2 linked regions of the Drosophila melanogaster genome follow. The protein of the gene in region 1 interacts with the protein of each later gene in a pairwise test. Each region holds a gene or a part of one and is shown on either strand. Other genes may lie near its edges.

Evidence for each region.
Region 2: the proteins of CG13689 (region 1) and LKRSDH interact in a two-hybrid assay, tested with the Drosophila melanogaster proteins (one large-scale study listed by BioGRID).

Annotation. Positions count from the first base shown.
Region 1 is NT_033779.5:600,404-604,964, forward strand, and holds CG13689 (uncharacterized protein), read left to right. Parts: upstream 1-2,409; 5' UTR 2,410-2,467; coding exon 2,468-2,603; intron 2,604-2,670; coding exon 2,671-2,936; 3' UTR 2,937-3,159; downstream 3,160-4,561.
Region 2 is NT_033779.5:7,790,561-7,799,217, reverse strand, and holds LKRSDH (lysine ketoglutarate reductase/saccharopine dehydrogenase), read left to right. Parts: upstream 1-3,258; 5' UTR 3,259-3,383; coding exon 3,384-3,443; intron 3,444-3,564; coding exon 3,565-3,708; intron 3,709-4,449; coding exon 4,450-4,626; intron 4,627-4,691; coding exon 4,692-5,070; intron 5,071-5,134; coding exon 5,135-5,709; intron 5,710-5,887; coding exon 5,888-7,043; intron 7,044-7,102; coding exon 7,103-7,279; intron 7,280-7,341; coding exon 7,342-7,460; 3' UTR 7,461-8,043; downstream 8,044-8,657. Other genes in the region: Herp (Homocysteine-induced endoplasmic reticulum protein), read left to right, coding at 595-1,055, 1,486-1,821, 1,892-2,288.

The sequences.
Region 1 (4,561 bases):
GTCTTATTTAATATTTTCCGCCTGCGACAAGACCGCGGAAGAAAAAAGCAGAGGGCATGGAAGAAGATCCGGAGCAGGCAACTCTTTTGTTGGGCTTAGCACTAGTCCAGGTCGCATTTATTTTCAGGCTGCGGGAAAGCACAACGCCCGAACCACTCAAACGCCTCGACGGGACTCAATTGTGTTTGAGATCAATTTGCAACTTAATTGAAATCCATTTAAAGTAATGAGAGTTACTAACTTGTCCTGCCCCGACCCTAAATCCTTTCGCTACCCTCCGCACTTCATTGTTTTCCCATCAGCACCGCTTTTGCTACCCTTTACGGTGGCCGCAGGCTTTATTTTGATCCCGTGCTCAAGAATTATAATCCCACGCTGCACAGTAGTGGCCGAGATACAGATACCTGTGGCGGCATCCTCCCATCTTCCGATTGTTCCGATAGTCCTGATTGTCTTGTTGTCCTGCGGCCACATATCTATTTGCGAGCCGTGCAAATGCAAATTGTCCCTAATGTAGCTCAAGTAAGTAGCAATCGCCCAGTTCCCCGCGGCGAGGATTCTCCTTGGAATTCGAATCGAGTAGCCGAAATGGAACTGGTTCCGAATGGAAGAATTATAAAAAATAATATGTAAAAATTAAACAAAAGTCATGGTACCGTAAAAATTACACCATTCTATAGTTTAGAAGCTTATTTCATTGCTGTTTTCAACTATATATACTATATATTATATTCTATTTGAGCATGATCCGCCATCCTGACCAACGTCGTCTATAAGTTTATGCTCTCCAAATCTGAAATTATTTCAATGTAAATTCGAATTTCCGAACTAGTTTACTGGCACCAGCACACGTAGGAACCACTCGAATTAAAATCTTTTTTTGGCTTCGATGCGCGCAAAAAATATGCAAAATAAATGCGGGCAAAAAATCGCTGGCCAAGTCCATTAAAAGGGAATAAGTGCGTGCAAATCCTGGCCGCAGGATGTTTTTCATATTATCAGAACGCATATTACTTCATCGGAAATGAAGAGCTTTCGTTCCCCCCGCTAGTTGCCAAAGTAAACATGTGTGAATTGCTCGGGAAAAGTGAGGGATGATGGGCGGGATGATGGCCATGATATCCATATCTGTATCCGTATCCATAACCATAACCACGCGCCTTTTTCGCTACACTAAAACCGCAATACAAACACACCCACACCCACTTAAGAGAACGGAAAAAAGAACGAGGGGCACAGGATATGTTGGATGGAATGTACTGTGCACCACATTCAAGTTGATCCCCTTGTAAATCTCTAAATTGTTTTATGAACATATTGGCCGGGAAGGTGTAAACCTAATTTTCCTTTATGAACCGGACGAGGCAGGTAAAGTGGAAGTGCATCCATACCCGGACTTTTTGTTCCGGCTCAGCAGGATGCACTCCATATCAATGTGCTCTTTGTTTGGCCGCCTCATTTAAATCGTACCGCTGGCCAATTTGCATTCGCACTACAGCCAAATTGATCCGCCCTAATCCCAGTTTTAGTTTTGGTTCCCGAACTTCTTCTTCGCTACTTCGAGCGACCGACCGATCGACCGAGATTTATAAGCGCGGGATTTGAATTTGCTAGAAAAACAAAACTCCTCTGCCTTTTCCTCAGGCTTTAGCCTTAGCCCTGGTTTGGCTATGTTTCTGGCTGGGATTGGCTTGGATCTGGATTTCGGTCCGATCCGGCTTGGCTTCTGCTCTGGCTTTAACTTTGCGCTTGCCCTTTGCCGGGAAGGTCTGAACCAGAGTTTTGAAGTCAGTCGGTTGACCGGAAAAGGCCTTCAAGGGGTTGGCCGCGAGGGCAGGGAAATATAAGGGTTTTATCATTTAAGAAATGAAGAGATTTTGTTGGAATAAGTAATTCTTCAAAAATGAATAAAATTTCATTTCATTAATTTGCGGCATAATTTCATAATTATTAATTATATAAATTTTGTAATATATTGTATTGATTTTTAAGACAATTTTTTTTAATATGTATCTATGAGATTCTAAGTTAGAAACAATAATTATTATATCTAAAAGTAACATGGTGGCGCCATCTGTTGTTCCCTGAAAGCCCCTGTACTTAATTTCCGGTAACAGTAATAAGACGCCATCTGGAGTTCGCGTTGTTTACAATCTGTACACACACTGGAATTAACAGCTGTTACAGTCCGATAGACGATTATTCACATCACAATCTTAAACTGCTTTTAAAAAGATATTATTTAAAATTATTTACAAAGAAAACAACCAATTGCCAAATCAAAATTATAATGAATCATTATTAAAGCGCTTCATATGAACCAAAATATATAATTCTGTGAAGCGGTCGCTAGATTTCAGTTTCTGGCCACATTTTGGATAATTTGGCAACACTGCAATCTTGTTATTGCTTATGCTGAGAAGTAAACAAAAGGCGACGAATGTTTGTATTTTCCTAATAAAAGCCAATGGAGGATTGGAAATCGGAGGAAATGGCAAGGAAAAGAAACAGGAATAGGAGCAAGCAGCGCAGACGAAGGCAGAAAAGTGAGGGAAAGCCGAAGCCACATACATCTCGAGATCAGTGGAGCAATGTGGCTCAAAGTAACAATAATAGTCATTAATAAGTTTTTTAATAGTGTTAACCATTTAAAATTCCCTGTTATTGTAGTATACCAAAGCCTTTTTGAATGGCACCACAATCATGTTATGAGTCTCTGCCCTGAGGTTAATCCGAATCTGGATCAGGACCTTGAGGATATTCCCAAGGAAACAGGAACGTTTCACTGCCTGGACTACGTGTACGAGAGTTCTTCCGAGGATGAGGAGATCGAACCCATTGACGAGGGCTATCTGAAGTTCCTCGAGGTGACCATTAAGCATCAGCAGGAACTCAGGGATCGAAGAACTGCCCAAACCACCGACTCTTTAGATTAGAATTTTGGTAAAATAGGTTTTTACGCAGATGAAAACTTACAGTTCATTTTTATCTGGTAATGACTTAAAAATGTATCTTACGTAAAATGTTATAATTTAAGCTCAAGTTTATAGGTTTGGTATTTAGTTTTGGTAAGCAGAAAATGTACCTTTTATAGGGGATATTTTTATATGTAGCACTTTGTCTTGAACGTATTAAGTATATAAGATGTTTTGATAACTTAATGTTCATACTTAGCCATTCTAACTGAATGCCTCAAAGGGCTAGAATCAAGACCTGCGTAGGACGAAAAAGCAACTGTACTTTAATTCCCGGAACTCTTCAAGCGGGAGACAAGTGTCTGATATTCTGCTTTTCTCACATGGTTCTCCACTAATGAAGTTGTGCGAAGTTGGCAGTTTTTTGGCCAAAGGAAACGCACATTAACCCGACCAAGACTAATGCGATGTCATTTATAATCGCGCTGGGAGAACCAGAAGAAAGCTTCAAATTGGGGCATGACTAAAAAGGGAGAGGGGCTTTTGGTAGGATGGAGGACCATTTGTGGGTCAGAGACAATGTCTGCTGCTCGTGTGGGCGTGGCAAGTTGGGCATTAGCCAACATTTTTCGGCACTTTTCAGCAGAAAACCTAATTAAGACGTCCGACTCTGAGTGGCAATGGATTTTCTTGGCTTACTTATATCCCCCATCCTCTCTCTCCTGACCAAGCTCCTCCGCCCCACGGAGCTCGTTTCCCACCTGCTCCTCATTCTCCACTGAAATCACGACTGGCGACGACAACTGCGAACGACCTTTCTAATGCCCGGCCACTGCATAAATCATGGCCCAAATGGCGGCCACCTGCAACCGGCAGCAATAGCAGTAAGCCAACAGCAACTGCAAGTGCACTGTAAGAAATCGCATTGCTCGATAGTCCTTTATGCTCACATTTAATTCTCATTACTTCAAAATATGAGTTTCTCCCAGTCCATTTATCTTCGGTGTTCAGAAAACCATTTGTTGTTACAAAATTCCCATTCGAATTCGTTCAGTGTAGCTAATAAGGCTTTGCTTGCATCGCGAACGGAAACGGCAACTAAAACTTAAGCTAAAACTAAAAGCTAGGATAGGATCTGGGGAATCACAGTTGGACATTCACCGAACGGGAGCAATAAAAGTTTAGTAAAATTAAAATTGAGATTTCAATAGAAAGTTAGGCTCCACCCACCGAAGAGAAGAGAATGATAAAATCGAATAGAACAAAAAATTCGTTTCCCTATGAAAGAAAGCCATTCCACTAGAGGCAATAACTTAATATCGGCAGTAACTAGTTAAAGTAGTCATGGAATCTTCTTCTAGATGCTACTTTAAATTATCATACTGCTATACTTGAAACATCCAAGAAGTCATAGAAGTGGAATCCCGTGGAGCAACCACAGAAGCCACAGAAGTTGCCGCCCAAAATGGCTGCCTTGAGGGCCAGGCCCAGAGAAAAAGCGAGAGAGTGTGAAGGAGAAGCCTCTAATTAAATGGGTGTACCTGTTGAATATGGCTAATAACCAAAAGAGGAGGAGAAACGAAGGCGGCAACATGAGGAGCTCATGCGAAAACAAACTGGGCAAAAGGGCTGTGGCCACCTGTTGC
Region 2 (8,657 bases), 7.2 Mb from region 1:
TTATCATCTTCGTTTAGGATTCATAGGTGTGTCGGTTCCCAAAGCTATTTGCGTCTTAGTCGCAAGTACACGTCAGTGGATTGCTCCTCTAAATTATAGTCGCCGTCATGCACTTGCGTCATGCACTTGGTCTATGCCAAATCGATGGGTCGGAACTGGGAACTGGGATTAATTTGGTTACGGTTAGAAAGTGATAAGATTTTTGGACATATTCACGCTCCACTCATGTGCCAAGTTTTTTATGTACATATGTACATCCCACATATCAATATCACTGATATATACTAAAGATTCAGATCATTGCAGGCAGAAAAAATACATTAGCACTCTTTATTTCCAGAGCAAATCAAGTAGAATTTATAAAAATTTATTTAGTTTCAAGTATCATTTCCATAAAGTCAACTGACAAGTACAAGTTGTTATCTCTTGGAGTGTGCAAATAAATAGATTTAGGCACTGTTTGATAGTATAAATTTCGCGCGGAGGTAAAAGCAACAATGAGTTATCTCTAGGTTCCCTCTGAATACCTATAATGTGAAATTTTATGTTTTATGTTTTGACCACTATAACTATTTCTTTCCATTTTTTCTGTAGTTAATCCAGGACCAGAAACTTATTTACTCGGGCAAGCTATTAGATGACTCCCAAAAGATATCTGAGGTGATACGCAGCTACAAGGATGTCTACCAACAGCACCACATATTTCACTTGGTGTGTGCCAGCAAGCAAGTGATAAGGCCGGCTGCCAAAGCCCCCACTGTTCCGCAGAAGGATGCGGTTCCAGCTGGGCCCGAGGTCACTGGGAATGCAAATGAGCTGCGACAACGTCATGCTCCACATCAGCAGCAGGCACAGCAGGGCAACGCTGGACCACACGTGACGGGTGACATCGGTTTGGCCAATCCCTGGACACACTTCTGGCAGCAGAGCCAGGGAGCAGCACCTGCTGCCAATGCCAGTGCCAGTCCCCATGCTTTGTTCCAGCAGCAGGCGCTCATCTACAACGCCTGGATGCAGCAGGCTTACGCGCAGTACATGCAGCAGTTGACTCTACGGTAAGTGAACAGAACCAGAAGGCTAAAGGAACACACTTGATCCAACAATTAATTCACTGATATCAGAAGCGAGCGAATCAAATTACACAGAGCTCGATAGCGAATACATTTTATTTTTCTCAGAAGGAGAAACACTTGTATTTAGTCACTCTTAAGAGGTACTTTATTATTCAAGTGAGATCAAAATGCTGTTTTAGCATTTTTAAAGTTGTTTCTTGATTATTTATAATCTTTTTATTATTTTGGTTATCAGGCGTGCTAAAATTGTAGTATACTTGTATGGCCACGATTACAGTTAAATAATATAATTTTGGGGTCGCTCCCGAAGAATTTATTGTGCGCAATTAAGTTTTGCATGTAAACGAACAATTATTTTCTATAATATTGAATGCTATGATTCTTACACAACAATCTTATATTATACCCACAGTTCTACGTTGCCCGGTTCGAACCAATCTGGCTTGCCGCCACCGACTCAACCCCTGTTGCCCTCAGTCCCACTGATTGCTGGGCGAAACTTCGGGGAGGTACAACAAGTGGCAGGAGCAGCTGCTGCCCCAGCGGCACAGGTACCTGCTGATCCTCAGATTAATGGAGCGCCGCAGAACAGAAATTTTCCCAACATTCAGGAGGAACCGGAAATGCACGACTGGCTGGATAGTTTCTTTAGCTTTACGCGATTGGCCATTTTTGTGACTGTCCTGTACTTTAACTCCTCAGCGCTGCGTTGTTTACTGGTGGTGCTCATCGCGGGTGCGATTTATCTGTAAGTACATTTCCTCTTTGATTCGAATTGAAAAGTTTACACATATATTGAAATTATAATTGTTTGTTAGATATCACATTGGTGTCCTTCGACGTCGCCGCGAGCGGAACAATAACAACATAAATCGTAACAATAATGCTGGCGATGCGGCCGCCTTTGCTGCAGTGCAGCAAATTCAGCGCATGATGGATGCGGCCGTGCAGCGGGAGAACAACGATCCCCAGGCGGCCAATGAGCCTGGTGCAGTGCCAGCGGCTGGACCTGCTGCTGCTGGTGAACAAGATGCAATCGATGCACCTCCGGCTGGGGCTCCCGTTGCTCCAGCATCCGCTGCTAATCCAGAACCGACTGACGTTTCCGCGGAAGCTGTGGAACCACCAAATGCCAATAATTCTGTGATTTCCGTTGTGCGCACCTTTGTCATCACGTTCTTCACCTCGCTGCTGCCCGAGGCGCCGGCGCTCTAGAGGATCGAACTGTACGTTATACAGAGGGACGTGTTTGACCATCCACAAACCAGCTTTACAGCTTTACGGCTTTCCTCTTTTAAAACTCCCATAATCAAACTGTTATTCCGTTTTCCTTTTGAGTTTTGTGCATACCTGAGAATGTAGCAAAAACAAACAATTTGTTTTACTAGCTGTAATAATCATGTATATTTATTTCCGAGTGTTAGCCAAGTTACAACATGGTGACTGCTGCCTCAATAGCTCGTAGAATTTTAGATATCTAAGAACGTACTCTGTTTTTGATGTGAATAGTAGAATGTTTATAATCTGCACTGCAATCTGTGCTAGAGACGAACCTATGAAACCAAGATGCAATTAAAATAAAACGTATGCTTTAACACCAAAAACCGAAATCGAAAAGTGGTGTTTACAAGGTGCAATTTTATCTATAAAAAATATATCTACGATTTAAATGAAGAACATACTGTTTTTAAATGTTTTCAACATCATTGGCATTGTTTTTAAAATCTTAAAAGAATCTTTAATTTAATAACATATAGACATATGAACATATGCATAGACACATATTGACTATTAAAAAATATATTTTTAAAATTTAAAATGTTATTATTTTAAACAATTTTGAATGATTCAATAAGGAAATAATCGGTTTTTTCCCGAAAATTTGTATAAGAATTGCATTGTGTAAACAGCGCTTGAGGAATTTTCCCCGGACGATTCTCTTAATTCTTAGAAACTTCTCTTATCAAAGTGGAAAATTTTCAGCCGAAAATCGAACGGAGATCCGGATTCCCTCACGGGTAAGTGACAATCACCAGCAGCTCGCTCTTTTTGCCCAGCTAACGCACAAAATTGGTTTCTTTTAGCTGCGATGAGATGCATGGAGAGCACGGCTTATCGCTGGATTTACGACTGGGTCCAACTGCTGATTAGAGGCTGTTTCGCTGACTGCCTCCATCGATGCCTTTAGAAGAGTACCAGAGCTCGGAGCCAACGGATCGGATCATTCCACTCAGGCCAAGAATAAGCACAACGGTTACAATTAAATTCGCACTTCATCTGCTCGAACTGATCCCACAAAGCTGCCGAAACATGTGGCGAGTGATTCAACTGCGCGCAACAATCGCGCATCCGTTCACCAGACAACGTCATGTGAGTTGATTCAACTCCCCAATTGCAGCCACATTGAATAATCGCATTCATACGAATGTAAAAGATATTAATTTTTAAAATATATATACTAAATAAATATCCCAATCTTTTGCTCTTTCAGAGTCGAGTGATTGCCATTCGGCGAGAGGATCAGTCGGTGTGGGAGCGACGAGCTCCGTTTGGACCAACCCACGTCCAGAAGTTGGTCAAGCAGAATGTCAAGGTCATAGTGCAGCCGTCCAATCGTCGTGCCTACCCCATGCAGGTGAGCTCAATTTGAAATTAAAATTTCGTCACATTATCCATAGGTTGTAACTTTCCATGGCCAGTTGGCAACGGATTTATTGAGTCTGCAGGGCTAATCGCCCATGGAAATCATATCGGTCGGTAGTCGTCAGGGCAACAAGTACGCGTGTATAGGTAGCATAGTATGGTATTTATATGGTATGGAGGCACACACGCCCCCCAAGTGCTGCATCATAAATATAAACTCGGATGATAAGCCTCCATGGAGCTCTAAATTTGGCAATTGGCCCGGCCTTGAAATCGAGTACAAAACAAACGACGAGGAGAGGAAAAACAATGGGAAGCAAAGCTTATCGTTTGCAGCAATGATTTCAAGGAATCTATATAATGTATTAAGGTGATTTTTAGAGTTGATAACATTTTCAAAGGGTCACGTGAGAAAGAACTAAACTAACTAAAATAATTTTTGAAGAAGGTAAAGCACTTAATTTAAAGTACCCCACTGACACACCCCAACAGTAAATGCAATTACAAAACGATTAGCAAATGGTACTGGAAAAAATTAGAAAACCTAATCAGATTTAATTAAGTTGAGGGGCAAGGGGATTAAATGTTTCACACGTGTATAGTACAATCATCATCTTTCGCCTGATGCATTGTAAAGATTACCACGTAGCAGGATGAATAGAATAGATAAGCGGGGCACTTAACTAAATAAAAACAAATAATAACATTGAGTTGATTTGTTTTTCCGGAACAGGCCTACATGCAGGCTGGAGCTCATATTCAGGAGGACATCAGTGATGCTTCGGTGATATTCGGAGTGAAACAGGTGCCCATAGATGCACTGATTCCTGGGAAGACCTACTGCTTCTTTTCGCACACGATTAAAGCGCAGGAATCAAATATGCCGCTTTTGGATGCTATTTTGGAGAAGGTTCCTATCACACATAAGAGTTAAATGAAGTTTTTCATATTATATTGCCACTGTTTTATCCATAGAAAATTCGGCTCATCGACTATGAGCGAATCATCGACGAACGCGGAGCACGACAGGTGGCCTTTGGCAAATATGCCGGAGTGGCTGGCATGGTGAACATCCTGCACGGCATTGGACTGCGTCTTTTGGCCCTGGGACATCATACACCATTCATGCACATTGGACCCGCTCATAACTATCGCAATTCCTCGATGGCTCGCCAGGCAATCCGGGATTGTGGCTACGAGATCTCGCTTGGCATGATGCCCAAGTCCATTGGACCACTTACATTTGTGTTCACTGGCTCTGGAAATGTTTCCCAAGGTGCCCAGGAGGTGTTCTCCGAGCTGCCCATTGAGTATGTTCCACCGGAGATGCTACGCAAGGTGGCCGAACATGGAAGTGAGTCAAGTGGAATCCTGCATTAGTTAATTCTGAATGAACTACAATTTGTATTTAACGTTAGATCAAAATAAGCTTTACGGCTGCGAGGTGAGCCGATCGGATCATCTGGAGCGTCGTGAGGGCGGCGGATTTGATGCCAAGGAATACGATGAGTTCCCCGAACGATACATCTCCACCTTTAGCACGAAGATAGCTCCGTACGCATCGGTTATTGTTAACGGCATCTACTGGGCCGTAGGCAGTCCCAAGTTGATCAGCATTCCGGATGCCAAGAATCTGCTACGTCCGGCAAACACTCCCTGGCTGCCGACGAGCAAGGGTAGTCCGGCTTTGCCACATCGCATGCTGGCCATTTGCGACATTTCCGCTGATCCCGGTGGCTCCATTGAGTTTATGAACGAGTGCACCACCATCGACACTCCATTCTGCTTGTACGATGCGGACAGGAATAAGGATACCAAGAGCTTTAAGGGACCCGGAGTTTTAGTCTGTTCGATTGATAATATGCCTACACAATTGCCCAGAGAATCGACGGATTTGTTTGGAGAGCTGTTGGCTCCTCATGTTCATGATATTATAAAGAGCGATGCCAAGAAGCCGTTGGCAGAGGAGAACTTCTCATACCCCATTCAGTCGGTGAGTTCACTTTGCCTTACCTTTATATTACATTTATAAATTTACCTAAAGTTAATGATTTATATTGTAACTTACGCTTTGAAGAGTTGTTTTCTTAACCTAAACCAATGTGCATCATGCCTTGTTATCAGCATCTGTTATCAGCTAATAAATTCCGTTTCTCTTTGCTCGTTTTCAGGCTATTATCGCCAGCAACGGTCAGCTGACGGAGGGCTTCCAGTATATTCAGGAGCTCCGAGAGTCGCAAAGCCACAGATCGCGCCACAAGATGGAGGGAAGTTCGGAGTCTGACAAGAAGGTCTTGGTTCTGGGAGCTGGCATGGTGTCCGCTCCACTCGTAGAGTGGCTTCATCGCGAAAAGGACGTCAGCATAACGGTTTGCTCGCAGGTCAAGGAGGAAGCCGATCGCCTGGCTCAGCAGTATGCTGGAGTGGACAGCGTCTATCTGGATGTGAACGAGAGCACTGGTCATCTGCAGGAGCTGTGCGGCAGGGCAGATGTAGTAGTTTCCCTGCTGCCCTACAGTCTCCATGGCATGGTGGCACGTTATTGCGTGGCAGAGGGCACCCACATGGTTACCGCAAGTTATCTGAACGACGAGATCTCCGGTTTGCACGAGGAGGCCAAGGCCAAGGGTGTGACCATCATGAACGAGGTGGGCTTGGATCCTGGTATCGATCACCTTCTGGCACTGGAGTGCATCCACGAGGTGCAGGACAAGGGAGCAGTTGTCGAGTCCTTCGTGAGCTATTGTGGCGGTCTGCCTGCACCGGAGCATTCCAATAATGCCCTAAGATATAAGTTCTCTTGGTCACCCAGGGGAGTACTTCTCAACACACTTTCCGCTGCAAAATATCTGAGTCAGGGACAAATTGTGGAGATTTCTGGAGGTGGGGAACTCATGTCAAGTCCTCGCAGCTTGGATTTCCTGCCAGGATTCGCCCTGGAGGGTTTCCCCAACAGGGATTCCACCAAATACGGCAACCTTTACGGCTTAGGCAGGGATGTGCACACTTTGCTTCGTGGAACCATACGTTATAAGGGCTTTTCGGAATCGATTAAGCCTATGCAGCTCTTGGGACTTATCGATCCGGAGCCACATGCATTGCTACATCCCAGTGGGCCGGATGTCACGTGGCGCCAGCTGGTGATCCATCTAATGGGCATGTCGGACTCGACCATCTTCTACGAGAACCTCAAGCAGAAGCTGACTGAGCGCATTGGAGATGTGGACGGCATCGAGAGCTTGGGTCTGCTGGATGATACTCCTGTGGTGAAGCTCAACACTCCGCTGGATACGCTTAGTCACTATCTCTCGAAGAGACTTGCCTTCGGTGGGTTAACCATTTAATTCTAAACTGATTTTATAATTAATCATACTATTCATTTACAGAGCGGGATGAACGCGACCTGGTGGTGCTGCGCCATGAAGTTGGCATCCGTTGGCCCGATGGTCGTCGTGAGGAGCGTGGAATCAATTTTGTGGTCTACGGACAGCCCCAGGGTCACTCCGCCATGGCGATGACTGTGGGCAAGCCGGCTGCCATCGCAGCCAAAATGATCCTAGACGGTGGGTTCCCTTATCAGTACTCTTAAAAGCCGTTTAAATAATTCCAAATCATCCCATTTCAGGTGAGATCCAGGAACGCGGCGTCCTGCTGCCCTTCACTCCCGACATTTATCGTCCCATGCTGCAACGTCTGCGCTCCGAGGGTCTGACTGCCACGGAAACCTCCAGATGGCTAAATTAAGTGATCTTAACTGATCCCGAGAAAATAGGCTTAAGTCTTCATTAATATTACTTTTTTGACTGCCCACCGCGTCGGGTGATACTTCTTGTTTTATCGCTCGGGTATTTCGTTGTTTGATAAGAGTGTCATTACGTTATCATAATACTGAAATAAGTTTTATAACTAGAGCTACTTGACGTACGTAAACAAGTTGAAGTCGTTGTCCAAATTGTGAAACATGTTTCCTTAACGTGAATTCACTACGAGCCTGATTGTAAGTGATTAAATATTTATGGAAAATAATAATACTGTATAAGTGGATTGTATTTAAAGATATAGAAGGCCTGGAATATACAACATTGATTATGATCATAAACGTGTATTCCAATTTTCCGTGCGATTTAATCTTTAAGATTCGATTTCCGTTCGATTGTCCCTGTAGCGCCTGGCAACCCGATCTGCGAAGGGTTATCATCCGAACTTGAACTAATTTTAAATGAAGAAACCCGATTTCAATCTATATTTAGTGCGGCATAAAACATCTTTGGTGATCCGATTGGATCCGTTTGCGAGGCGGTCATTAACGTTTATAATTGTAATAAACAACAAACAGGCCACACATCTCCCTGGAATTACTGTGGAAAATGTGGAGCCCGAGACTGATAACCTCTCTGCCGGGCAGCAATTTAGTTGCCCATGGAGTGGGAGCGCGCAATCTCGCGTTTTACAAATTTTAATTCACATTCATTCAATGCAAAGCACACACACAATCTTTTTTGCAGATAAGATTGTGCGGGCTAGTGATGCCAATTACACGTAGTTAAACAAGTAATGTACATTTACTTCTGCGGTAAGTAAAAGGTTTTCTTTTAAAGATGTTTCTTATCTGGGGTCTGATTTGAGGATTGGGAAATTGTTCTCTGCATGAAATTTGCTAGATTCCACTTTAATAATACACGAAAATTTTTACTTTTAAAAAACGTTTTTTTCTAAAACTTTCTAAGTGCTATAAACGCAATAACGGAAACATGGAAAATTCATAGTTCGTGAAGAGAACATCCGGCGGAGGGGACTGGGGAAACCCGGATCAATTCCAAAAAACCGCCAAATGAGCATGACTGGTGTGCGGTGCGCACTGGGATTCGTTGTTGTGGAACCCAAGTCGCGGTCGACGTCGCGAATTAAGCGCTGGGCCATCGGGCCTGATAAGTCCGCGTC